7 linked regions of the Mus musculus genome follow. The protein of the gene in region 3 interacts with the protein of the main gene of each other region in a biochemical or structural test. Links are inferred from orthologs where the notes say so. Each region holds a gene or a part of one and is shown on either strand. Other genes may lie near its edges. The genes, in order: Plcg1, Mpdz, Kit, Src, Lyn, Ptpn11 and Ptpn6.

The links.
Region 1: the proteins of Kit (region 3) and Plcg1 form a complex in vitro, tested with the Homo sapiens proteins (3 studies listed by BioGRID and IntAct, with this or other methods). The link is inferred for Mus musculus from reciprocal best matches to the Homo sapiens genes KIT and PLCG1.
Region 2: the proteins of Kit (region 3) and Mpdz form a complex in vitro, tested with the Homo sapiens proteins (2 studies listed by BioGRID and IntAct, with this or other methods). The link is inferred for Mus musculus from reciprocal best matches to the Homo sapiens genes KIT and MPDZ.
Region 4: the proteins of Kit (region 3) and Src form a complex in vitro, tested with the Homo sapiens proteins (3 studies listed by BioGRID and IntAct, with this or other methods). The link is inferred for Mus musculus from reciprocal best matches to the Homo sapiens genes KIT and SRC.
Region 5: the proteins of Kit (region 3) and Lyn form a complex in vitro, tested with the Homo sapiens proteins (2 studies listed by BioGRID and IntAct, with this or other methods). The link is inferred for Mus musculus from reciprocal best matches to the Homo sapiens genes KIT and LYN.
Region 6: the proteins of Kit (region 3) and Ptpn11 form a complex in vitro, tested with the Homo sapiens proteins (3 studies listed by BioGRID and IntAct, with this or other methods). The link is inferred for Mus musculus from reciprocal best matches to the Homo sapiens genes KIT and PTPN11.
Region 7: the proteins of Kit (region 3) and Ptpn6 form a complex in vitro, tested with the Homo sapiens proteins (2 studies listed by BioGRID). The link is inferred for Mus musculus from reciprocal best matches to the Homo sapiens genes KIT and PTPN6.

What each region holds. Positions count from the first base shown.
Region 1 is NC_000068.7:160,748,310-160,751,809, forward strand, and holds part of Plcg1 (1-phosphatidylinositol 4,5-bisphosphate phosphodiesterase gamma-1), read left to right. Parts: coding exon 1-20; intron 21-2,653; coding exon 2,654-2,738; intron 2,739-2,833; coding exon 2,834-2,917; intron 2,918-3,126; coding exon 3,127-3,161; intron 3,162-3,323; coding exon 3,324-3,396; intron 3,397-3,474; coding exon 3,475-3,500. UniProt on the Homo sapiens protein: Mediates the production of the second messenger molecules diacylglycerol (DAG) and inositol 1,4,5-trisphosphate (IP3). Plays an important role in the regulation of intracellular signaling cascades.
Region 2 is NC_000070.6:81,278,816-81,282,315, reverse strand, and holds part of Mpdz (multiple PDZ domain protein), read left to right. Parts: intron 1-491; coding exon 492-615; intron 616-2,546; coding exon 2,547-2,693; 3' UTR 2,694-3,500. UniProt on the Homo sapiens protein: Member of the NMDAR signaling complex that may play a role in control of AMPAR potentiation and synaptic plasticity in excitatory synapses. Promotes clustering of HT2RC at the cell surface.
Region 3 is NC_000071.6:75,573,629-75,577,786, forward strand, and holds the start of Kit (mast/stem cell growth factor receptor Kit isoform 1 precursor), read left to right. Parts: upstream 1-1,358; 5' UTR 1,359-1,423; coding exon 1,424-1,490; intron 1,491-2,114; exon of another isoform or gene 2,115-2,418; coding exon of another isoform or gene 2,419-2,437; intron 2,438-4,158. UniProt on the Homo sapiens protein: Tyrosine-protein kinase that acts as a cell-surface receptor for the cytokine KITLG/SCF and plays an essential role in the regulation of cell survival and proliferation, hematopoiesis, stem cell maintenance, gametogenesis, mast cell development, migration and function, and in melanogenesis.
Region 4 is NC_000068.7:157,422,982-157,427,092, reverse strand, and holds the start of Src (neuronal proto-oncogene tyrosine-protein kinase Src), read right to left. Parts: upstream 2,801-4,111; 5' UTR 2,679-2,800; intron 2,266-2,678; exon of another isoform or gene 2,158-2,265; intron 1-2,157. UniProt on the Homo sapiens protein: Non-receptor protein tyrosine kinase which is activated following engagement of many different classes of cellular receptors including immune response receptors, integrins and other adhesion receptors, receptor protein tyrosine kinases, G protein-coupled receptors as well as cytokine receptors.
Region 5 is NC_000070.6:3,676,636-3,680,920, forward strand, and holds the start of Lyn (tyrosine-protein kinase Lyn), read left to right. Parts: upstream 1-1,485; 5' UTR 1,486-1,729; intron 1,730-4,285. UniProt on the Homo sapiens protein: Non-receptor tyrosine-protein kinase that transmits signals from cell surface receptors and plays an important role in the regulation of innate and adaptive immune responses, hematopoiesis, responses to growth factors and cytokines, integrin signaling, but also responses to DNA damage and genotoxic agents.
Region 6 is NC_000071.6:121,163,898-121,167,397, reverse strand, and holds part of Ptpn11 (tyrosine-protein phosphatase non-receptor type 11), read left to right. Parts: intron 1-2,710; coding exon 2,711-2,903; intron 2,904-3,500. UniProt on the Homo sapiens protein: Acts downstream of various receptor and cytoplasmic protein tyrosine kinases to participate in the signal transduction from the cell surface to the nucleus. Positively regulates MAPK signal transduction pathway. Dephosphorylates GAB1, ARHGAP35 and EGFR.
Region 7 is NC_000072.6:124,720,207-124,723,154, forward strand, and holds the end of Ptpn6 (tyrosine-protein phosphatase non-receptor type 6), read right to left. Parts: intron 1,873-2,948; coding exon 1,805-1,872; intron 1,709-1,804; coding exon 1,557-1,708; intron 1,462-1,556; coding exon 1,370-1,461; intron 1,017-1,369; coding exon 902-1,016; 3' UTR 874-901; exon of another isoform or gene 703-873; 3' UTR 501-702; downstream 1-500. UniProt on the Homo sapiens protein: Tyrosine phosphatase enzyme that plays important roles in controlling immune signaling pathways and fundamental physiological processes such as hematopoiesis.

The sequences.
Region 1 (3,500 bases), on a different chromosome or scaffold from region 3:
GATCGTAACCGAGAGGATCGGTAGGTGCTAAGCTGAGGCGGATGCCTAACCAGTGGGTAGAGGCACCCAGAGCATTGGAGCCAGAGGGTCCATAGAACTGAGTTACATTGGGAGGGGTTAGGGGCTCTGACACAAAAGTAGTCCATGCTGCTGAGCGTGGGGTACAGAGATAGTGCTGGACTTCTAGGTGTAACTGGCAATGCAGCCAGAGCACCAGGAGCTGGAGGAAGCAGAGACCAGATGGCCTGCTGTCAGTGCTGCTTTGTACTGTTGCAAGGTCCCCCAGAGGCAGGAAGCCATGGGATGTGTAGAGGAGTGACCTGCTCTGACCTAGAGTTTCCCCAGTGTCCTACATAGGCTTACAATTGCTGCAGTGAAACACCATGAACGAACAGCTTGGGGAGGTAAGGGTTTATTCAGCTTCAATTGGCTTCCTCGTTGCTGTTGATCACCAAAGGAAACCAGCTCAGGAACTCAAACAGTGCAGGATCCTGGAGGCAGGAGCTGATGCAGAGGCCATGGAGGGGTGCTGCTTACTGGCTTGCTCCTCATGGCTTACTCAGCCTGCTTTCTTATAGAGTCCACGACTACCAGCCTAGAGGTGTCCCTACCCACCAACATAGAGCTGGGCCCTCCCACACCAATCACTAATTAAGAAAATGCCCTGCAGGCTTGCCTACAGCTGGATCTTACAGAGGCATTTTCTCAATCGAAGCTCTCTCTTTTACCGATGACTCTGGCTTGTGTCAAGAAGACATAAAACTAGGCAAACACAACCAAGATCATACTGCTGTAGAGGGCTGTTAGACACTGTCCGACCATTCTGGGTGTAGGTGAGAGGGCTCAGGTTGAGGTAATAATAGTAGGAATTAGCTGGATTTGGGCTATGTTCTTTGTTTAAAATTGCATCTAAAAAGTCAGAGATCAATAGGCTTTTGACATGCGCAACTGGGAAGTAAAGTTGCCATTGGCTGAGACAAGAAGACAGTGGGAGGAACTTACTGTGGGAGCTTAGGGTCCAGTATGGATGTAAGTTTTATGGTGCATAATAGATTCCCAGGTAGAGAGGTATGGAGTTACCAGGCTGGTAGAATGAGTTCAAATGAGGAGGTCGGGCTGGAGGTAGTAACACAGGACTGTGGACAGGTGAAATGGAAACTCTTGGGGTCCCCAGATAAAAACTCAGGGACCCAGATAGCAAGAAAAGGGAAGAGGCCAAGTGGCAGCTGCAGACTGCTTCCACATGGGAAGCTAGGAAAGGAGGAGTATGCTTAACCCTTCTGAGTAGTCATGTTGTGGGGAAAGCAGCTTCAGTCCGTGGTGAGCAGCTTAGGGGCAGAGGAGATTGCAGGTGAGTCTTGTGAGAGTTTTCCATAGCGCTGGACGGATGGCTCAGCGCTTAAGAGCACTCACTCAGAGGTCAATTCCCAGCAACACATGGTGGCTCACAACCATCTGTAATGGGCTCCAATGCCCTCTTCTGGCGTGTCTGAAGACAGCAACAATGTACTCACATACATCAAATAAATAAATAAATAAATACTCTTAAAAAAGGAGTTTTGCATAGAGGGGAAGGGACAACAAACACAGAATTAAGCAGGGCAGGGTGGAGAGAGCAGTGTGATTTTTATGACAGCGGGAAAGGGAGGAGACAGGCTTGACTGCAGCTTCCTGGCTGACTGAGGGTCAGGTGACCCAATGCTCCCCGCAGAGCCTTGACTCTAGGGCATTGGTTCTCAACCTGTGGGTCTCGACCCCTGTGGGGGGGGTTGGATGACCCTTTCCCAGGAGTCACCTAAGACTTTCTGCACAGCAGACATTTACATTAGGATTCATAACAGTAGCAAAGTTACAGTTAGGAAGTAGTGATAAAATAATTTTCTAGTTGGAGGTCACCACAACGTGAGGAGGAACTGTATTAAAAGGGCGCAGCATTACTTTGGGAACTACCTGTTCCAGGACATTCAATTATTGGTGAAGATCCGAGCCTTAGGGAATTTTGGTCTTTCGTGCCTGGCTTTAGGCCAGAAGAGGGTGTGTTCTCTCTCCAGCACCCACTCCTCCCAGGAGAGCATCCTTTTCCAGCTTTTTCATCCTGTTGTTGTCCAAGCTGCTATGCTTAGAGGGTAGAGTGCGCTGATGCTCTCTTCTCTCTCTGTCTCCCTCTCCTCTCCCTCTTCTCTCTTCCCTTCTGTCCCTCTCTCTGAGTTCTTTTCCTGGAGCCTCAGGAGTGTGCTCAGCAGCAGCAGTTACACATGGCTAAGGGTGCCCGCGCTCCCTTCCCTGCTACCTATCCTGGGGACTGTGGGTCCTAGGATGCCTCCGTTAGTGGCAGTGGGCACTGCCCTGCCCTGTACAGGCAGCAGATCAGAGCTGGGGGCAACTGCTGGAAATGGCTTATTCTGCCTCCCATCCCAGCCTGACCTGCTTTCCTCTGCTTTCCTGAGCTTGGTCACTTGTGGCTATTGGGCTTTTTCTCTTTCACTGCAGAAACTTGAGGCCCAGAGAAAGGCAGGAACTCGCTCCATCTAGCACAGCATGAAGTTTGAAAGAGTGTTGCTCTTAAGACTGCAGGTTCCCAGAGTATAGGTGTTTACCTGTCCATCCTTAGGTTCAGCCTAAAGTCAAAAGGGAATCCTTTTTCTCCCCTTAGTATATCAGCCAAGGACTTGAAGAACATGCTGTCTCAGGTCAACTACCGAGTCCCCAATATGCGCTTCCTCCGAGAGCGGCTGACGGTAATGGACACTTGGGGCTATCCTCTGGCAAGGAAGGGGAGGCCAGTGACTCCTCCTAAGGGGCTTGACTGGCAGTTTTGCTCTGTACTATGTAGGACCTTGAACAGCGCAGCGGGGACATCACCTACGGGCAGTTTGCTCAGCTGTACCGCAGCCTCATGTACAGCGCCCAGAAGACGGTGCATGAACCTCCCACCCTCCCTGTCCTTGGCCCAACTCCTCTGCCTTCTCTCATAGCCCTGCTGCCCTGCTTTGGAGTGGTTTTGGTGCCATTACTCTAGCCACACACACCCCTCCCCCGGGGCATCTGCTCCCTAGCCTTTTCTTAAGAGCCCCTTTCCTGCATGGCCTCCCAGGGCTCCTCCTGACCAGATTCTGTTCTCTGCAGATGGACCTTCCCTTCTTGGAAACCAACGCTTTGAGGTTTGGTTTGGAACAGCCAATTGGGCTTTTTCTCTGGGTGGTTTCAGATCCAGGTGGGAAGCAGTGGGTAGATGGGGATGGGGCATAATAAACCACTGGGTATCTACACTAGACGGGGGCCCTTTGTCAGCCAGTGCCAGACACTAGGTTTTCTCCCTACAGGACTGGAGAGCGTCCGGAGCATTGCCAGGTGTCCCTTTCTGAGTTCCAGCAGTTCCTCCTTGAATACCAGGGGGTATGTCTGGGCCAGGGAGTTAGGCTGCAGGGTGGCTTCATCATTGGTGGCCTCCTCCATGACTTCTTTACCTGGCAGGAGCTGTGGGCTGTCGACCGGCTCCA
Region 2 (3,500 bases), on a different chromosome or scaffold from region 3:
GTTACCTAATCAGACATGAGTATACTACAAATAGCTCTTCACCCTACTACACTTCCTGGGTTTTCAGTTTTGATATTTTTGAGAGGACATCTTGCTCTTCTTCAATGAACTGTGATTGAAAATACTGAATATATTAGAAAACACACTAAATATAAAAGTATTAGAAAAGATAAAAGGTAAAGGGAGGCACATTTAAATTTTCAAGTTATTCAATGCTGCCCTTATCTTGTTCACAGTTGACTTTCCTCTCTGAAGTTGAGACTATCATTTATGATCCTACATTGTGGTTCTCTGAACTTTCATCCCCTCTCAATAAACTGGAAAAAGAAGGAGAGTTTCTGTGCTATGAAAGCATTCAATAAATAGCATCTTTCTTATCTGTAACATAGAGGATATACTATCTGTAGTTTGAATCAGGTAAAGCATAAAGCACAGAACCAAGTGAGTGTGTGTGTTTGTGACCTTTTTTTTTCTCCTTTCTTTTTCTGTAGCCCTCCACAGTCTAAGACCATTACGCTAGACCGAGGACCAGATGGCTTAGGCTTCAGCATTGTAGGCGGCTATGGCAGCCCTCATGGAGACTTACCAATTTATGTGAAAACAGTGTTTGCAAAGGTAAGCTTACAAGGTTTACCCATTCTGTTCCTTACTAGACATTAATTAACACTGGTCAGCAGCTAGCTTATTAGTTTAAGGCCTGACGTGACGCCAAATGGTTAACATTGATATTTTCTTTTGAAATCTCTGCAGGAACAGGTTATTAAATGTTTTTATCCTAATTGAGGTTTAGTTATGTTTAGAGAAAATTAGTTCAAATTGAAACTCCATGGAAACTCTCAGTGATATACATGAAACAATCGATGCAGCCTGTCCCTTCCATTGAATAGAAAGTCACACATGATTACCTTTTGAATATGGACTTTGATAATATATCTGCTGTCAAGAACTGGCATGTTTTCCTCCGTGTTCTTTTATAGTTGTGAAATCTAAAGTAGGTACAGAAAAATACACAAAATTAATCTCACATTATGACTAGGGTGTTTATACATTAATTTCATTGAAAAGAGAAAAAGAATTGAGGAGTAGTGAGCAGACCTGCTGTCTGTAATAAAGCATTATTTGCAATCAAGGGATTCAGTTACTTATGAAAAGAAAGCTCTGTGTATAGTTGTAATCATCCACTGAACCATCTTAAGAATGTTTAGAATAAGAATAAAGAGACTGTAATTTTGATGAAGTCATTAAAATAATAGAAATGCATATAATGGTTGGTAATGTGTTGTTAAGATCTATTTTCAAAGACTACAAATTTGAACAACGTTTCCTGCAGAAGAGAACTCAGAATCTCACATTTTACAGTGGAAAAGAACAGAGTGAACATCAGGCCTGTAAAGATTCCACTTGGGCTCTTTAAATGCTCCTTTATGTTATGGAAGTTTCTATTATTTTAGAAAAACACTACTATTTTCAACCAATTTAAAGTGCTGTTCTGTGGCAAACTAGCTGTAGGCTTAATTTGTAAGTTGTTTTTTTTTTTTTAAGTTATTGGTACATCCAAAAATACAGACAGCATTTGCCAATGAATAGAAGCGCCATGCAATCCTTTTCCTCGGCCTAGGAACAATTTATTTAAGGCATGCTAGTTAGAACATATTTTAAGAATTTCATCATTATACGCTCCTCATTAACTCTTCCATATTTTTAATCTTATATTTAATTGCATAATTATCGTCTATGTTCATGCCTGAGATGGAGTTCTTTTTTAAATAGTGATGTCTGTGTTTAATCATAATTATTTAGAGCCTATAGGAATAGGAAGACTCTCTTTTCCCTTGCAGTAAAAACCAAGACAGCTTGAGCAGTCTTTCTTTGCAAAGCTTAGAAAGAATGACACTTAGCAGTGCTGGGGGGCTCGTGTCTGAGCTGTGTGCTGGGATGGAACTCAGAGCCCGATTGATGCTGAACAAGCATTGCATGAGCGGTGTCTCCCCAGACCAGCACTGGCTTTTAAATTCTCACTCTGCCTTACCCTGATCAGCCTCTATGTGGGCTTTCTGGCTCAGCAAACCTGTGGACTCTCAAGTCTCCATAGCTTTGTTTGATGAGGCTGCTTTTGTTCTCCCTGATCCTTTGTCTTTCTGTAGGCCCTCTTTATAGTCTGAAAAAGCCTCCGTTTCTGTGAAATCATTCCTGTTAGGCAGATGCCCAAATATTCTTTATTAATTTTAGTTGCCACCAATTGCTGTCCTAAACAGCCAAAAAAAAAAAAAAAAAAAAAAAAAAAAAAAAAAAAAAAAAAAAAAAAAAAAAATTCCAGCTACTCTGTTGACTGCTAGCTAACTTCACTACCAGATTGGAATGTCAGTGTTAAACCAATTTGGAAGAAGGACCTCTTTTTTTTAAGTATGTTCATCATGTCTGATGGTATGGGGCACCGGGAGCCATGTATGTGTACATGCAGAGCAATTTGCATTCTTCTTTGGCTCTTTTTCTTTGTGTGTGGCTGAGTTCTTTCACAAGTAAATAAGCCTACTTTATACTTGCAGGGAGCAGCAGCAGAAGATGGGCGTCTAAAAAGGGGCGATCAGATCATTGCTGTCAATGGGCAAAGTCTAGAAGGAGTGACCCATGAAGAAGCTGTTGCCATCCTCAAGAGGACAAAGGGCACCGTCACCCTCATGGTTCTCTCTTGAAGTGACTGCCAGAGCTGAAGCAGCCCAGCCACTGGCTCCCCTCCTACTGTAACAGAGAGGACCTGTTTGTATGCTGTGTTGGTCGGAGAAAACTACAGTAGGGAGGCGAGAAACAGAGTGTTTGTTACTCACAGCCAAGCATCATTTTTCCTTTACTCTGCATTTCATGATCATATACTCAAAAAGAAGAGATATTTGCATAGATAAACCTCAGTTTTATCTCGACAATATCTAACAATTTAAGGTCACGTGGACAAAATTATTATATGTTCATCTTGTTAGTGTGGAAACAAAATGATACAAAGTTAGGCAATTAGGTTAAAGATGGAAATTTAGAAAAAAAGAAGACAGTTTTGAGTTTTATAGGACTTCTTCAATCCAGCAGTCCAAAAGAAGAAAAGAAAGTGCTTGCAATACTTTTGAATAGTCTACTGTTTTAAAATTGTGACATATTGGTCCTACTTACCTCTAATGCATATTTTTCTGCTAAAATTGTTTAGCAGTCCTTGTAAGCTTTAAAAAGAAATTCCTGTTTAGTGCATATCTCGGTGTTTGTTTTCAGTTTTAACCTGCTATATTTTCATGTTGTTATAGGTAAAGTGCTGATGCTACCCTGTGTTGGCTAGAGTTCTAGGAAACATCCATGTAGCCATGGGAGACAGAGAAGGAGCCCAGAGTGTTCTAATGCTGATGTAGCAGACTGATACTACGTGGAAAACATGTTACTGTACCATGCTATTGTTTTTCCATTAGTATTAATCTTAATGACATAGAAAAAGACAGCGTGTTAGTAATTATTTTGGTTGT
Region 3 (4,158 bases):
CCCGGATACTATAAAAACCCAGATTGTTACTGTCCACCCCCGGATAGCCACAGTGACTGTGAAATGTCCCTAGGTAGAAATTGTCTTAAGAGAATTACTTTAGGAGTTGGAGAGTTGGGTCAATTAGTTAAGAACAAGAAAGTTGGCGCATGACTTTAATCCCAGCACTTGGGAGGCAGAGGCAGGCGAATTTCTGAGTTCGAGGCAGCCTGGTCTACAAAGTGAGTTCCAGGACAGCCAGTAACCCTGTCTCGAAACAAACAAACAAACAAACAAAGAAACAAACAAAGAACAAGAGTAGTTGGGCTCCAGGCACCCACAAGATGATACACAAGCATCCGTAACTCTAGTTTCAGGAGATCTGACATCCTTCTGACCTCCCTGGGCACTAGTCACACACGTGGCACACACACATATTCATGTAAGTAAAACACTCATACACATTAAAAAAAAACTTTAAAAGGAAATTATTTTGCTTTTATCTTGCTCCTAAGGCAGACCACAGTCGGATCGAGTTGGGGAAAGGGGGACTCAGAGGGGATGGGGCGGGGGGGGGGTGTTGAGGGTGAGATTAAAAAAATAATTAACACAAGAGAAAAGGCACCCAAATGCAAATAGGTTTTAAAAACCGAGTTTCAAAGCTAACTCCTTCACAGGATGCCTCTGTAGTCCACTGGCCCAGTTTCCACAAGTCTCAGCAGGAGCTTGGCTGGGTGGAGGTCCACGCTGGCCAATAGAAATCAGCTGTATTCTTACAGGTTTCGCAGCAGGTGGAGAAACTGAGCATGAAAAATTACTTAAACGTGGGCTCGGTCTTTTACTGAGGTCAGGGGTGCCACGATCCGTCCTCCTCTACCAACAGGAACAGAAATAAATGTTGGGGACCCAGTTTCCTAATCCCTTCGCCCGGCAATCCCGACTAGTAACACCTCCACCATAAGCCGAATATATTCTCCCCGCTCCGGAGCTTGCTGGAGGGACCGGTGGTTGTCCTTTATTGTCTAGGGAGCACCTGCCAGGTGGCTGGCCCGTACCTAATGCGCTCGTGGCGCTGGGCTTCACAAAGCGCGGGCAGCACCTGCGTGGCCAGCCAGCCGCCTGGACTGAAGGACCACCGATGGAGGGAGAGTGCTAGGAGGAAGAGGATCCAGGGTGGAGGGCCTGTGGGGGCTCCTGGTCTTAGAGGGCACAGCGCCCCCGGGATCAGCTTATTGCAGCCCGAGAGCCCCGGGCACTAGGCAGCGGGAGGGAGTGCGACCCGGGCGGGAGAAGGGAGGGGCGTGGCCACGAGCTGGGAGGAGGGCTGGAGGAGGGGCTGTCGCGCGCCGCTAGTGGCTCTGGGGGCTCGGCTTTGCCGCGCTCGGTGCACTTGGGCGAGAGCTGTAGCAGAGAGAGGAGCTCAGAGTCTAGCGCAGCCACCGCGATGAGAGGCGCTCGCGGCGCCTGGGATCTGCTCTGCGTCCTGTTGGTCCTGCTCCGTGGCCAGACAGGTGGGAAAGAGCGGCAGACAAGAGGACTGCACCCTCTGTGGGCGCAGCCCGGGTCCGGGAGGGGTGCCACCTGGGTGCGTCCGGAGTGGTAGCTGTTGGCTTTTCCCATGCCTACCACCTCGAAGGTGGTAGGCGGCCGCGGGACTCTGGTGGCCCGCCTCGCTCACCTGAGCTGAGAGACCTCAGCCCGGGTGGTGGAGACCCGGGGCCGAGGGTCTTCTGGGAACCCAGGCAGCGAGCTGCAGGCTGCGGGCGAGTTTGGTGATGCTTTTGTGCCGACTGCGCGCGGGTGGCAGGGGCGGGCGGCCTCGGGCTTCGCACCGAGAGCGTCCTCTCTCCGAGCGAGGTGCGGCCACGGCTTCCTTTTTGTTAAAAGTTGCGCGTGGGTGACCGACGCCTGGGACAACCAGCCCACGGGTCCCGGACACACGCCGGGCAAAGTTGGAGAGCCTTTTCTTGCGGCCGCTGCTTCCCCACCTCGGGCGCTCTTTGTGCACAGTGCTGGGGACGCAACTGCAGCCGCTCTCATCGTGCGCGGCGCCACCCGAGGAGACGAATCTCGGGCTTGCTTGCCCCCACCCAACTCCGTTTTTTGCACGGGGAGCACGCGGCGTGAGGCTCTGGGGCGGGACCCCACGAGCCTGTAGGTGGCGGCTATGGGGACAACTTGAGCCGGGCGTGTGGCGAGCAGCCGCTAGGTTGCAGACTTTTTCCTTTTGTAAATCTCGTGCTAGGGGCTCGCCCCTCTCTGCAGCCGCACGGTGTTCGTTGCTGCCACGCGCCAGGGAGCTGCTGTAGCCTACGTTGGTCGCCAGCTTCTGGGAATCAGGGACTGCGTGCGGGGACGCAGCTGTTCTTGCCACCTCGTGCGCGCTGGACCAGGACCGAGTCAGTTCTCCCCAGCTTTGGAAACCTCTGGTTTCAGTGTATGCGACTTGTAATCGCAGGTGGCCGTTTTTTTTTTTTTTTTTTTTTTTTGGAGGGGAATCCCGAGATCCAGAAACCCTCTCCCACGTGATAGCCATACTCAGGGCTGCCTGGGGAGGCTAGGGGGTGGGGGAGAAGGGGTAAGCTTTCTGCAAATAGCATTTGTTTCTTCAAGCTGTTGGGAAAATCTTGTTACCTTTTGCAGGGTAACTTGGGTCTCAAGATCTTAAGGTTCCGGAGCTCCTCAGCCCTGCCCCTTTTTTTGCCAGGTGTCGCTGGTGCACTGCCCGTGCAGGTTGCCTGCTTAGTCCTGAAGCCCTGCTCCCTCCTAGGTCATTTTCAAAACAAAAACCAGAAACCCTTTTAGGTTACCTTGATGCTATAGGCTAGAGACAATCTGCACGCTGCAATAAGGCGTCAGATGGCCAGCATCTCTGTGACCTGTTTTGAGCCCACCGCTGACTGCGTTTTCCAGATCTCACTCCCTAGATGCTTTTGAAAGGCTGGGAGAGGGCTTTTTTTTTGTGGGGGAAGTCTTGCATCTGGACCTCTGCGCGCACAGAAGAGGGGTCACCAAGGGTCACAAATGAGTGTTCAGATTCCTAGGCATATTTGACCACTTAGCTGAAAATGACCCCAGTGATCTTTTACGTTTTCCACCTTGTTCTGCTTTAGAGCAAGGTGGAACGCCACAAAGATCACAGTTCCCTTTTGAAAACAGAAACGAGTCAATGGTTTGCATTTTCCCCCTGATTAGTCTGCTCTGGCCAATAACTTTTTGGCAGAGGGAATTTGAAGGTCTGATTCCTGGCACAGGGTGTGTTGTAATTCCTTTCTCTGTCTCTCCCGTTTCAGGCCTCCTTTTCAGCCATTCTGCCTCCTTGGTTTTGTGCCCTTGGGCGGTCATTTAAATTGGGAGTGGGTGTGTGTTGGGGGGGACTTTGGTTTCCACGGAAGGTACTTGAAGACATTTGCATCACGAAGGATCTGAGGAGTTCACAATTTCAGAAAGCAGCTTTCTTGTCTAAGGGCCTTTTGGGGTGTGTGTGTGTGTGTGTGTGTGTGTGTGTGTGTGTTACGGTTTTGCTCCAGGCTTTGCAGGAAGCAGTTTTGTGTTTTTGTTTATGCTGTAACCTTTGGAGGGCTAACCAGTGCCTGCTCTGCAGTAACCCCTCCTTCCGGGGCATTCACAGTGGGTTTACAGCTCAACAGGATGGTCCTAGAACAGTGAATCAGACCTCCTCCCCCTCCCCACACCCCCTGTTCCTGCAGGTGCAAGTCCCTAGTCATTCATGGTCATTCACGCACCTGGCATTCTGGCTTACGATCCTGCTGGAGATAATCTGATAGTTCCTTGAAGAGATCCTCAATAATTCCACGTCTCCCCCATTCTGGGCTCTCCCCATCCATCCACACATTCGTATGACGTTATAAATCATGTATGCCATGCTTTTGCAACACTCTTCCTACTGTGCTTTAAATATCATATCATGGATGTGTTTTGTGCATACTTGGGGCTTCACAATCAGTAAATGTCTGCAAGGCTCCCCATACTGAGGGCTTTGCCTGCCATTTCTGTACTCAGGGGCCCAGGAGGTTAGACCACTACAGTGTCTATTCCTATTCCACCATTGTTTTCCAATTGGAGAATAAGTCACTTGCCCAAAACAGCCAGTGAAGGAACCGGAGCTCAGCTCCGTGTGCCCAACTGTGCATCCATTATACAACTCACCAGAATCTG
Region 4 (4,111 bases), on a different chromosome or scaffold from region 3:
TGCTCTCCAGCTCCCTCCCAAGTTTCTCCCTCACCCTCACCCCGACCCTGCACTGCACTTCCTGATCCTTGGGCTCTCAGTGCCTCTGGCTTTCTGGGTTGAACTCCTACTAAACCTAGCTTCTTCCTCTTCTTCTTCCTTCTCCTCTTCCTCCTCCTCCTTCTGAGACCTGATCAGGGCTCCCACAGAATATGCAAGTCCAGACTGCACATCTATTCCATTAGCTGTGTACCTTGCCCTCCAGCTTAATCTGGTTCATAGAGAGGATACCCACCTGCTCCCTATGTAAAAACTGGAGGCCAAGATCCTCCTCCAGGCTCCAGTGGGCCCTCATAGGGAGCAGTCCTATTGATAGCGGCCCCATTGGATCATCCTATCTCATAGCTCTCCCTTTGGTTCCCCACAACAATTATACACCTCCCCTCACCTCAGGGCCTTTGCACATACACACCTCTCTCTGCCTGGCACACCTTCCCCTAGCTTCATGCCCAGACGCCCCCTAAATTCCTCCTTCAAGAGTCCTCTGCCTTTATCACAGCCACGAGTATATATTCATTTATCTGGCCACTTGCTTGATGCATGGCCTATCCCCCACACTCCAGTTTCTAGGAGTCAAAGACCTGCTCACAGTTTCCCAGCAAGTCCCCAGGCAGATGACCTTCTGAATAGAAAGGAAGAGCACTGACCCAGCTGCATTCTTGGCTGGCCCGCCACTGCTTCACTCAGCTTAAGCCCCTCCTCCAGGAAGCTGTCTGCTCCTCCTACCACAAAGCTGCTCAACAAAGTTCCCAGGCCCTGGTGCATAGTATATGCTCAATGCGCGATCAAAGTCAGCAGATGGACAGCAAGAACAAAGATCATTTAACCATGTCCTTCCGAGATTCCTGGGGGGCTAGGGGAGCGAGACACACCCTATCCTCACCCCCACCCTCAGATGACAATCAGGGAAGAAGCCCCAAACAGGAGCCAGCCTATGTGCTGGAGGCTGGTGGGGGAGAGGGGGTTCGGGAAAAGGACACAGGAGATAGAGGAAGGTGGGGTGGGAGAGATTAGGGTTGCCCTAAGGCTGGGATGAACAAGGATGAACAAGAGACTAGGGGGAGGGGACGGAGCAGGGAGCATGGCACTCCTAGCACTCATTAGTGTGTGCCCCATGATGTAGACAGGAGGTCAGCTGAGAGGTGACACACTGTAAATCACTTCCCTTGTGGAAAGGTTACCTCACCCAGACACACCTCATCTCCAGTAGGGCCTTATGTCTCTGCCAGGTGCGAGAGATATGGAGGGAAACTTCCAACAATGCCTTGTGCCTGATCTAAAACTACACACCCTTCACCGTCACGGTGGGTTAAAGGGCAGCCAGACAGCTCCTCAGGAAGGCTATATCCTCCTCTGCAGCTGCAGACCAGGCTAACCCCGGGAGGCGTTCACTGGATATCAGCAGCTCTGGTTATAACTGCTCCATTTTCTTTCCTGTGGTTCTGCAGCTAGCACCAGGGCCTTGAACAAGCTGAGCCTGTGCTCTACCACCGAGCTACCTCACAAGCCAACTGATCGATCCTCCCTGAGAGGACTGAGGCCAAAGGGAACCCTTTGTAGCACGGAGTTACCCGCTTCTGCAGGCAGCTGTGCCACAGGTACCTCAACCATCCTGTGCGAGCGAGCTCCAGGATGGGACTCATTTATTGAGCACGCCCCCCCATATATGCCAAGTCCTGGGCTGCGGAAGTGCAGGGAATAGTCACTGATGTGAATAGTCCAAGGGGCGGTCCCTGGCTCAGGTCACTCAGGAAAACAAGAAACCTAGACACCTGGACTCCATAAGGTTGGAAGAGTCCCCTGCCCCCGCCCCTGCCCCCGCCCCCGTGTCCACCTTGGTAACTAAATCTGACCTATACCCAGATGACCCCAACACCACTTGCCTTCACTGGGCAGTCTGTAAAGCCGGGAAGACCTCAGGGTCCCAGAAGCCTCACACACCTCTGTCCACCTTTCTAATCGGAATGCCTCAAAGGTTTATGGGATGGATACCCAGAGTGAGTCCCCTCTGTTCACCCCACCCTTCAACCAGCCCACCTACCACTGAGGAGGGCCTTGGCTCAGAGAGCTAACTAAGGCACAAGTGGTGGTGGGTCGTAGTAGGGGGCACAAACTCACCTCCAGTACCTGCCTGGGTGGGCAAGCGGACCTGGTGGCGGTAGTGAAACCCCAAAACTTTTGCCAACTTCTGAGTCCATCGGTCGCTGGGCCTGCGCAGGGGCGAGGCTGGGGGTTGGGGGGGATGGGGGGCGAGGACAGGGTGGCCCTGTTTCTTCCAGACCAGCAGCACTAGGCCCTACCCAAGGCCCCAGTGAGACCTAAGGAGGTAGTGTGGCCCTCCAGGTGCCCCTTCCCCAACGCCCACCCCACCCCCACCGCCCACTCCGGGCCGGGGGCGCCAGGCCCAGCAGCCGCGATCGCGGGCGGCGCCGATCGGCCGGGTTTTCAAATGTGGCCTAACCGAGCCAGGGGACTCTGCGGCCGAGGGTCCCCGCGTTCCGGTGCCCCCCGCACCCCGCTCGTCCTCCCCCGCGCATCCCAACAAAAGGCCGCGGCGGGCAGCTCGCGGGCCGCGGCGTAGAGTGGGCAGGGCGGGAGCCCGCAGCAGGGCGCGGGGCCGGCGGGGCGGGGGCGCTCACCTGCACGGCGACCGTGAGCTCCGGACGCGCCCGGGCGGACCCCAGCGGGGCGCGCGGCGCTGGCGGGCAGCGGCCTGGCCGCTCCGGCGGGGCGGCCGGTTGGATTCCGGGCCCGGAGAGACAGACCGAGAGAAAGGGAGGAGGCGGCGGCGGTGGCGGCGGCGGCGGCGAGGGGGAGGGAGCGCGCGGGAGGAGGGGCCGCGGCCGCCGCGAGCCGGAGAAAGGAGGAAGCGCGGACCCGGGCCCCGCCGGCGACCCGGGAGACCTGCTGTGCGAGCCGGGCCCGCGCCTCCCGCACCCAGCCCCCCACCCCCCGCAGCTCCGCCCGCGGGGGCGCCCCCCCAACCCCACGCCACGCGCCGGGCTCGGCCTCCCGGGACCACGTTAGCGTTCAACCCTAGCTACCTGAGCTACGCACCGGTGGCTAGCACTGTCCGGAAACTGAGGCACTGGCCACACCAGCCTTGACCCTGAGTGTCTCTAATCCTCAGAGACTGGAACCGAAGGGACAGGGAAATAGTGAGGGGGAGAGGCAGTATTGTTAAAATGTATCAAAAGGCAAAACAGTGGCTCACTATGTGGCCAAGGCTGGCCTTGAACTTGCGGAGCCTCCAGCCTCTGCCAATGGAGGGCAGGAACTTGCGGGGCCCAGCTCAATTAGGCCAAGCCTAAATTCACTTTCAATGCATAAGGAGACCGTGTGCATCTGCTGGGCAGTGTGCTTGTTGCCAGCCACTGAGGATGACAGAACCAACCGGACAGGAAGTAGAGAAGAAAAATGGGGCAAGCGGGATGAGATGTGGCTTCAGGCTGGTCTCAAAGACCACCAGGTTCTAGCGCTGCCCGTTGGGGGTCCAGGAGCATCCTTGACTCCTCCCGTTCACTCTGGAAAGATGGGCCTGACCATCTATCAACCATCTCCATGTTCCTTCCTTGAAAGTGCTTCCATCTCACAGACAGGGAAACTGAGGTTCATGTGGCACAGGCCTGGGCTTCTGGCAAAGATCCCTCCCAAAGGGCAAGTCCCCCATCATCCTAGATTGTGAGAGGCTCCAGCCCCAGGGTACAGCTATGTCTCCCAGGAGACCAGGAAAGGGCAAAGCTTTGAGTCAGACTGATCTGAGGTCACATCTAGGCCAGGTGCCTCAGGGTGTGTTCTGTCCACTAGCTTCCTGTTCCAGCCCCCTCTGTTGTGAAGAAGGAGTGGGCCAGGCTGAAGATCTGAGGGCCTCACTGACAAGAGCAAGTGGGGCCAGGGTAGCCCACTGTGGCCACGGGGACTGCTCAGGGTTTCTCATGAACAGCGGGCAAACTAGCCAGCCACTCCTGTTCGCAGGGCTTGCTTAAAGATTAACGGCAGTTTCCCAGGGCTCCCCTGGGCAGGCTCTGGCTGGAGGAGCAGGTTTCTCCGCCCTCCTCCATGCCTAAGATTT
Region 5 (4,285 bases), on a different chromosome or scaffold from region 3:
GGACAGTGACAGTAGCACTGTTCATTATAGGAATAACCACCTTCCTACTGTTTTTGTTTGAGGAGTTATTCCTGTGGCTTAGTGATGGGGGCACTCTAAGAAGCATGCTCTTTGGTGATTTCGTCTTCTGGTAGACATCGTACACTCACTTAAACCTATGTGCTCCAGGTCACTCACTTTATGTCCTTTTTGATGCAATCAGGAGTCATGGTCCACAACGGTAGAGAGGACTTGTTGGTATCAGCATCATCACAAACGCTGTAGATCTGTCTTGCACTGTCACACTGAAAGAGCTATGACAGCTACGACACCACTAAGTGATACAGATTTTTCAGCTCCATTATAATCTCTGGCACCATCTTCATAGTCCCTGGTTGACTGAAAAATGGAGGGGCCAGGAAATGCTGGTGCACACCTTTAATTCCAGCACTTGGGAAGCAGATTGCTGGTTTCAAGCCCAGCATAATCTGCAGGGTGAGTTCTAGAACACCCAGGGTTACAACGAGAAACCCTGTCTGAAAAAAAGAAAAGAAAAACAACAAAACTGGTGAATCAGTGTGCTCACAAATGTTAGTCTTCCTTCATTAGTAACAAATGACAGCTGTACTGGACTTTGTTACAAGGTACCTGTTCTGACCTGTTGAACTGCAATTAGGGAATCCCAGAAAACAGAAGTCAGATTAGCATAAGTGGGTATCATAGTGACTGAGGCTAATTGCATATCTTGGTTCAGTAAGGGGCATTTATCAAGTCAAAATTTGGTTTGAACAAGCAATCTTACAACACACACTGGTTATGTACCTACAGTATGCCAAGTACTGTGTACACATAGGAACACAAGGACACAGCATTTGTTAGGAATGCAGTAATGTTACCAGGACCACATGCTAATCAATGCGAGCCTGCTACAGAGGACAGTTCTTGATAAGTAGTCTTAGCTCCATTTTCCTGGAAGCTTTCAGCTATTGGCATGCCCTTTAACTCCATAGCGAGTTCCCACTCCTCATTCCAGTGAATATCTTCAGCACTCCTTGTACACCTTTAAGGAATTTGATGTTTTGATTGTTAAAGCAAAGATTCCCCCTCGCCATACCCTCCAAACATCTACTCGCTGATACCGGTTTTTTTCTCTCTGGAAGCTCCAAACACACACAGAGAGTGCTGCTTCTGCTCCCAAGACACAGTGCATTGAGGAGTTGGGTCCTAAGGAACAGTGAAGTAAGGTGAACGTTTTCCACGACCCTCGAGAACCCCTAGATCTTCCACGCAGCCCTGGGGAGAATGTTGTTTCCGAGGCTACCGCCACTCTCCCAACTTGCGGTCTGGGTCTCCAAAGTCTGTTTGCTTGTAAAACCCTGAGCGATGGCTACACCAAATACCAAACCTTGGACAGGAACCAAACGGTCACTTCCCCGCCCTCCCAGCACAGTATGCAAATTCGAGCACCAGGAAGTAGCTGGGACCTCTCGGCCGAGCCCAGCGACAGCCAGTTCCTCTCCCACCGAGCCGGGCCTGGGCGCCTCCCGGCCAACGTTCTGCAGCTAATAGGTTGCTGCAGGCCGGGCACTGTTCCCCGAGCAGTGTGCCCGCAAGTCCCGGTCACGCGTCCTAAGACACCGGCCCGCAGCTGCTTCCCAGGCGGGCCCCGCAGGGCTATCCCGTCGCGTGAACAGCTTTTAACCGAAGTCACCGTGGAGTTCCGCCGCCCCGAAACTTCCACCACGAGCGAGTAAGTCCGGGGCTTGAGCGCAGGGTGGGTGCGTAGGGTGGACCGGGCAGGGACCGGGGCTGGGTCAGAGACCGGATCACAGGTCGCTTTCTTGGCTTGGGACTCCGGGTTTCGGTGCAGCCACGGCGCCCGCAGCAGAGGTCGCGCACTGCTTCTTGGTGGCGCTCGCGCTGGCCCCGGGTGGCGAGAGCATCTAGACTCCTTCAGCCTTGGGAGACTGTGACTCGCCGGGGCGATCGAGCGGGGACGCGGGGGCGGCGACTCCGCAGGTGTCCGCAGCGGAGCGGCGCGGAGGCGTGGTGGGCAGTGCGCACAGGGTGGGCGCCCCTGGGTCCTTGGCGTCAAGTCTCTCCCATGCCCCTCTCCAGCTTCTCTTGCCTGGCAGAGAGAAGTGGCCTGAGTCCACTCCGAAAGGGAGCGCGGTGGGGATTCCAGAGGGAGTCATCTGGGATCCAGTATTTAGTGTCCAGATCGGACCTTGAGTCCCCAGGGATGAGAAGGGGGGTTTGAACCCAGCCCCTCTCTAAGGTTGGCTGACAGCTGAGGTCCCTGTTGACTCGAGGCAAGGTGGTGACGTCGAACGGCTGCCACAGAGGCTGTAGCTTGACCTCCCGCGTAGCTCGACTTCTGTCAGCCCGCAGAGGAGTAGTCCAACGCCTTGGCCAAGAGGAAGCTAGAGTTATTTTAAGAATTCAGGGATGCCTTTCCTTCTGAATGGGGGAAGGGTGTGTGCGACAGTTCCCACTTGCCTGCCTTATCTTGGCTGACTATAGTGACTTCCCTATGCTGTTGGTGTAGTGTTTTTTGTTTTTTGTTTTTTTTCCCAATAGTCCCCGCTACTTGGGGTGCTTGTGGTTGTCTCTTTATTTATTGGAGTACCGGTGTTTTTGTTAATTATGCTAATCCGCCCAACTTCTTTGCTGTTCAGAATCCAGGTGGGAATCTAGGCCCTGCATTCTCTCAGTGACTGCGAATTATTGAAGTTCCCGGTTTGGGTTTCCGCCTGATTGACTATGAACCTACTTCATAGGTTTAGTACACTGAAGGTCCTTGAACATTATATGAATATAATGTTATATGAAAGTTACTTGGTACAACTGATCATCTATAAAATCGGAGGCCTTTGGTGGTTGGCAGTTTGGCGATTTTTAAACCCGAGACCACATGTCTGAGTGAGCTAGCTGACTTGAAAATCTATCTAATAAAACACCTGAAACGTGTGCTGTGCTGCCTCAGAGGTTCCTGGGATTCCCCCAGTTCAAGAGATCTTAAGACCTAACGTGGAAGACGATGGACTCTTTGCTCCGAAGCTCGGCTATCTGTAGGGTGTTTTCTCTCTGTGGAGTTAACACCCATAACATGTTTTAGGGAAATAGGCTATGCCCTGTGGGTTCAGGAACTTCCTGGTCCCTTCTCTTTTTTTTTGGGGGGGGGGGTCGAGACAGGGTTTCTCTGTATAGTCCTGGCTGTCCTGGAACTCACTCTGTAGACCAGGCTGGCCTCGAACTCAGAAATCTGCCTGTCTCTGCCTCCCGAGTGCTGGGATTAAAGGCGTGCGCCACCAAGCCCGGCTTCCTGGGCCCTTCTTAAGTGAAATGAAACTCTCCTCCCCTCAGGATTGCTGCCTATCCAGGTCCTCATTTGGAGAAAGGCAGGGTGATTTGGGGGTTTTGTTGTTTTAAAAATTCAGCTCCCAAGAGCCTTGGTTATGATCCGTTTGGGCTATATGTAAGTGGAGTAACTTTCTGAGCCTTGAAGAGGACAGTAGATGTGGAGGAAGAGAGCTCAGGAGGTGTGTTGTAGGCACTGTTTGCCAGAGCTGAAGTTTTGGACCAGTCACTTGGGCCATGGACTGAGTCAGCATTCCATCAGGGCAGCATCAGTTATATTGACATATTTCCATGTTCACGGGCTCTTCATCCAGACAATGTCAATGCCAAGACAACAACGTTATCTCTCTTGTCCCACATGAAGTCCTAGTGCCTGGTGCCTGATAAGTAAGTGCTCAGTGAAGATGTCTTAGAAGGAGGAAGGAAGGTTGCCTACTGGACACATGGAGTTGGGGTCTTCTGTCTTGGTTTCTGTAACAAGGGTAGGAGGACATTTTAGAATGGCACCGGAACCTTCAATGGAAATCCCTGGTCAGGACTGTTCTCTGCATGCCTTGGAGAAAACACAACAGTTTCTGTAGAGGCAGTCACCCTAATTTATCTTAGAGTCTATGGTTGCTTTGTGATACTCCCCTTCCATGGCCAGTGTCTTCCTTTTAGCAGAAAAAGTAGTCTTGCACAGCTTGGCAAATCAGAGACTTTCAAGACCTCCTAGTTCCTGCAGTGTTTCTGTTCAGAAATAAATTACAGGAACACTTGAGATTAGAGTTTGTTTTTACAGAGATACTACTTGGAACCATATAAGAAACCTTCACTGATTTCATAAATAGGAATACAATATGCACACGTATACAGCATAAGACATTGTTACAGCTCACGGGGACCAGTGATCCCTTGGATACATAGATTAACACAACACTGAAGGACATTAACCGGTGACATTGGC
Region 6 (3,500 bases), about 46 Mb from region 3:
ATAGGCTTGGTGCATGCTAGCAAAGCACTCTATATACTGAGCTACATGCCCTGCCTGCAGTGTCAGAGTATCGGCAGAATACCCTCATTGCAGCAGCTGCAGTTAGTGTTCCTTACACAGATTCTATAGGGCTCCTACGTTTTCTCCAGGTAGATTTAGAATGTGCTTTAATTGTAACCTTTATCAACAGCTGATGAGCTTTGGGAGTTGGGGCAGAGAATACGGAGCTTGAGATGCCGAAATAGCAGCAGTGCTGCAAGGTGCTCTGACCAGTTATTTAGCAACAGTACCATCAGAGGTCAGGCTAAGCCCAGAAGTGGAAAAGCAGAGTCCTGAAGGACCAGCTTTTCATCAGCTTTTAGCATTCTCTCCCAAATGTGTAGCACATCCGTGTCTGTAGAGAAAGAACTGCCATGTTGTGAAGTTCTTCCTATGTGCGCTGCGGGGTGGGAGGGTGGTGGTGTTGGGAATGGGAGTTGAGAGCTGGTACTTGCTTTATTTACCTGGCATTGGCTTCTGCATTCTCCTCTCTCATTGCAGATCCTGGGTCTTGCCTTTCCCAGCTTTCTGTCCTACCTGCTAGAAATTTGTTTCTCTGGCTACTACTGTAGTCTCAAGCTGTCTCCACCTGCTTTAGATCTGCACGTGCCTTTCCAGGGGCATGTAGATGGAAGAATGCTACCAAGTCTGTGGTGATGAGTGTTACTGCTCGGGTTAGCGTCTTCCTTACCTAAAGCCATAGCGATCGAGTGACTGTGTCAGGATGTTTCTGTGACAGCTTAAGTTAAGAGCCTTGGTCTTAGAGTCTGCCATCTGATGGCTCTGGGCAGCCTGTATCAAGGGTTCCTAGCACACTAGCTAAAGTACAGATGTCTTGGTCCCATGTAGACGTTGTTCTCTCTGTCCATGAGAACTCACACTGTTAAGGAAACCCCTGTGCCTGCTCCAGGATGGAACACCATTAAAGCTTGACTGGATAGCCCAGTGTAGTTTGACCTGGCCAGCAGAGTCAGAGACAAGTACAATTAGGTTGGAAATAGGGAAAAAGCTGAAATGCTTTGAATTAGCTACAGCAAAGACCCCTTTGTATCTAGTGGCACGGCAGGAGCAGGTTCATGTGATCCCGGGTCTCTGATCACTTGTTTGTTTGTTGTTGGAATCCAGGCCTCATGTAGGCTGGGCTGTCTCCAGATGGCTGTGTAGCTGCAGATGACCTCGTACTCTTCATTTTCGGTCTCCTCTCCTCAGTGGATGGGGTCTCTGTCGGGGTTTCTGTTGCTGGGATAAAATGCTATATCCAAAAGCAACTTAGAGAGGAAAGGGCTTACTTCACCTTACAGCTTATAGTCCGTTATCCAGGGCAGTCAGGGCAGGAACTCGAGGCAGGACCCTGGAAGCAGGAACGGATGCAGAGGCCATAAAGGAATGGTCTTTACTGGCCCGCTCTCTTGGCTTGCTCAGCCTGCTTTCTTATAGTCCCCAGGATCACTAGCCAAAGGGTGGCATTACCAGCAGTGATGGGCCCTCCCCCATCAGTCATCAATTAAGAAGATGTGCAGTAGGTTAGCCCACAGACTAGTCTGATAGGGACATTTTCTCAATTGAGGCTTTCTCTTCCCAAGTGATGGTAGCTTCTATGAAGTTGACTAAAGCTAGCAGTGCACATGAATTATAAGCATGTACCACCACACCCAGTTGCAACTTTCTTACCTCTTCACTAAATGCAACAACTGGCTCTGTTAGAGTCAGGCACTAAAAAGTCAAATTGTGTATGTGGTCCCCCCCCTCCCCCCCGAGACAGGATTTCTCTGTGTAGCCCTGGGTGTCCTGGAACTCACTTTGTAGAGCAGGCTGGCCTCGAACTCAGAAATCCGCCTGCCTCTGCCTCCTGAGTGCTAGGATTAAAGGCGTGCACCACCACGCCTGGCTTTTTTTTTAAGATTTAGTTTTTATTATACATAAGTACACTGTAGCTGTCTTCAGACATACCAGAAGAGGGCATCAGATCTCATTACAGATGGTTGTGAGCCACCATGTGGTTGCTGGGATTTGAACTCAGGACCTCTGGAAGAGCAGTCAGTGCTCTTAACTGCTGAGCCATCTCTCCAGCCCCCAAATTGTGTTTTTAAAAGATGGGAGATTTAAGAGGAAATAGGAAGCATTGAGGATATAGTTTTTTTGTTTGTTTGGTTTGGTTTGGTTTGGTTTTGAGACAGGGTTTCTCTGTGTAGCCCTGGCTGTCCTGGAACTCACTCTGTAGACCAGGCTGGTCTAGAACTCGGATCCACCTGCCTCTGCCTCTCCAGTGTTTGGATTAAAGGTGTGTACCATCATTGTCTTGTGGACATTGTTTTCCAGTGATTCTGAGCTCCTTTAAAAGATTTAATGGAGGCCAGATGTGGTGGAGGCGCTCACAATATTGGCACTTAGGAGCCTGAGGCAGGACGGTCTACAGCTCAAGACCAACCTGGGTCACACAGTGAGACTGCCTCAAAAGAGAAAATCGAATTTTAGTTGTCATTTTTAACATATCTTTGTCATTTTTCCTGTCCAAGATGTAGACTGCCTGTCAGACAGTACCCTCTGGAGGAAGCTGTGTGTCAGGCGCCTGTGCTGAGCAGAGTGAGTGAGTGTGGTCCGTGAGAACGTGCCGCGCGCGCGCACACACCGCAGCTGAGCTCAGCTTGTTCCCTGTCAAATATGTTCACAGGTGGTTCCATGGTCACTTGTCTGGAAAAGAAGCAGAGAAGCTGCTGACGGAGAAGGGCAAGCATGGCAGCTTCCTCGTTCGAGAGAGCCAGAGCCACCCCGGAGACTTCGTTCTCTCCGTGCGCACTGGTGACGACAAAGGGGAGAGCAACGACGGCAAGTCCAAAGTGACCCACGTCATGATCCGCTGTCAGGTAGAGCACCATGGGGACTGTGGGCCCGCATCAGCTGCATTGGGGGCTTCTGCTGAGAGGACTAGACACCAGCACACCGCCTGTCCTTCTGTCCTTGCTTGGCTGCACCCCGTGTGGGGCCCATCGTTTTGAAGCACTGTTGTTGTTTCTTTCCTTTTAGTTGTTGCTGTGTTTTTCTGTTGGCTGTTTTGTTTCTGTTTTTCTGAGATGGGTTGTATGGATCCATGACTCCTGAAGCCCATTGGCTGGTGACACTGCACTGTCCCTCCCATGTCTGTGGGTGCACCCCTGGGGTCAGCAGACTTCAGAAAAGCATCCTGTGTCTATCTGAACACATGCAGACTGCTTTCTTGTCACATTCCCTAGTGTATAGCATCACGGCTGCACACATGACATCACGTGATGCTGGGCAGAGGCATGGTGAGGAGTCTGAGGTGATGGGAAGTGTGTTGTGTCATTATAGAGTTTACATTTGATTTTGATTTAATTCATTTTATGCCATTTATTGTCTTTGGTGCTGGGATGGAGCCTAGTACCTGTCCCATCACTGAGCTGCAGTCTCCTGCCTCCCCTGCCTTCCTCTCTTGCCGCCCCTGC
Region 7 (2,948 bases), on a different chromosome or scaffold from region 3:
GTTTTCTCCACTGTGAAATATCCAGACTAACAGGTGGGGGTTGCAGCTCACTGAGAGAGCTATTCACTGCCTGCTGCCTAGCGTGTGAGAGGTCCTGGGCTTTGTCCCCCAGTACCACAAAAGAATAAAACAAAAACTACAGTGCCTAGAGTTAATTCTACAGCCTCTTTAACTAGTGCCTGGGTCTGTTGCCAGTGTGTACTGTGGCAGTGGCATTGTTCCGGGCAGCCAGGGAAGGCAGGTGAGCCCACATCACCCTCTGTGTAGGCTGGAGCACTTGCCTACGATATAGGAGGCCCTCGGTTCCATCCCCAGCATGAATGAGAGAGAGAACACAGAGCAATCTAAGCCCTAGGGCTGTTATGGGCATCTAGCCGTGTGAAGCCATATCATAGCTGGGGGAGGGGAGACTACACACAACCAGGTCTATCTGACCCCAGCCACACATGGCATCCCAGCCCGTCCTGCCCAGAGTCCCTGGATACAAGGGGCACAGACTTGGAGGCAATACACAGTGGTCCAGGGAATTTATTTACAAGAATAGAAGGGCCCGGCTCTCCCTGGGGACTTGCCGGGCTATATACAGATTCAGATGACCACAGTCACTTAAATTACAAGAAGATGGGGGTGGTCCTAGGGTCTGGTGAGGGCCACAGGTCTCAGTCTATCGGGTGGAAGCCTCTGCAGGGATCAAGGCTGATGCTGCAAATAAAAGAGAGGAAGTGGATCAAAGGTTGTCTGGGAAGGGGATACAAGAGCTAGGGACACCCTAGCAGGGTAGCGTGAGACTGTGACCGTGCCATGCACGCACGTCTGAACTGAAGTTGGGGAAATGGGGGCAGGGAGAGAAAGAACACACAGAAGGGGCCGCACCATGGCCACCTGCAGACGAATGCCCAGATCACTTCCTCTTGAGAGAACCTTTGTTCTTCTCCTTGTCTGCCGACCGCTGCTTCTTTACTTTCTCTTCCTTCTTGCTCTTGCTATGCACGTTTTCGTACACCTCCTCCTTGTGCCTGGGGTTGGGAGGGGACAGGAGGCATCTGGAGACTGTGCAGGGTGACCCAGCACCAGCAGCCCCTCTGAGACTCTCGGTATGTGAAGCCAGGAGAACAAGAGAGCCTGCTCACTCTGTACAGTGGACCCACATGGCCCGGGGACAGAGACGGCTTCTCACACAAGTCCATAGCACGGGCCCACGTGGGGTCCTAACGGGCACTTCAGGGAAAATTTAAGAACAGAGGGAATAGGAAGAAACTTGACCTTGAACCAGGGTTTCTCTAGCCTCCACACTAATCCACTCCAGAAAAGGACAGTTAGGGCTGGGCAGTGGGGGATAGAGCCTAGGAAGGCAAACAGAACCACTCACTTGGAGGAAGTACGCGAGGCTTTGGCGTGGGCACTCCTCACAGCGGGAGGGTACGTGATATTCCCATACTCCGACTCCTGGCCCTTCTGGGACTGTGGGCAAAGGTGCGGTGGGAGGATGGTGGTACCAGCAGGACTAGGTGATGCCCACACTCCCCTACCACCCACCAGCCCCACTCCGGACACACTTGTATGATCTCCAGTTTCTTCTTGGTCGTTTCGATGAACTGGGCAATGGCCACGTAAATAAACTTGTACTGGGCCTCGGTCTGCACCATGCCGGAGCGCTGTGCTCGTACCATCTGGATGGTCTTCTGGATATCAATGTCACAGTCTAGCCCTGGACAAGGGTGGCAGGGGAACTTCAGGGTAGACAAAGGCCAAGGGATGGCTTGCCCCCCTCTCACACCCACACACACTCCCCAGGGCTCCTCACCCTTGGTGGAGATGCTTTCCATAAGCATATCAATGACGATGATGGTGCCCGTGCGGCCGATGCCAGCGCTGCAGAGACAAGGGACTGCCATCAGAGGCCTGGCCCTCCCCAGGAAATGGTGAGTCTCGAGGTCCACCCCAGCACTAGACGAGGCAGGTGTGTGTGTGTGTGCATGTGTGTGTGTATAGAGGTCACTAGGGCAGTGAAGGAGGGGTTTGCCTCGCTCTGTCCCCATGTTTCTGCCCAGTCACAGGATAAACAAGCCAGGGCCTGTTTTGAGGTGCAGACACCTTTTCCCTCCTTCCAAGCATCTGTCCCCCACTCCTCACAAATGATGGCTGTCCTCGTCTCTTGGAGAAACAAGATCCACAACCTGTGGCTGGACAGTGGTGGAACATGCCTTTAATCCCAGCACTTGGGAGGCAGAGGCAGGTGGATTTCTGAGTTCGAGGCCAGCCTGGTCTACAAAGTGAGTTCCAGGACAGCCAGGGCTATACAGAGAAACCCTGTCTCGAAAAACCAAAAAAAAAAAAAAGATCCACAACCTGCCACCACTGTCCTGCCTTTCCTCGGATACCTGGGCTTCTCCCACTCCACCACCGCCCCTCCCCGAACTTTTTTTTTTTTTTTTTGGTTTTTCAAGAGGGAGTAACTCTTTAAAAATGGTGCTGTACCCCTTTAATTCCAGCACTTGGGAGGCAGAGGTTCAAGGCCAGCTTATTCTATTCTACACAGCAAGTTCCAGGTCAGCCAAGGCTACACAGAGAAACCCAGTCTTTACAAAGAAAGAAAGAAAGAAAGAAAGAAAGAAAGAAAGAAAGAAAGAAAGAAAGAAAGAAAGAAAGAAAGAAAGAAAGAAAGAAAGAGAAAGAAGGAAAGAAAGAAAGAGAAGGAAAGAAAGAAAGAAAGAAAGAAAGAAAGAAAGAAAGAAAGAAAGAAAGAAAGAAAGAAAAAGTTATTCAATGATTATCGTGCAAGCAAGCATGCTTATGGAAAAAAAAAAAAAAAGGCCAGGCAGAGTGGTCACGTAACCACACCACCAGGGGATGACAGGAGGTAGAGACAGCTCCCTGGCAGCCAACCTAGCTGAAGTGATAACCTTCAAGTTCAGTGAGAAACCCTCTCTCAAAAAGTAAGGTGGAAG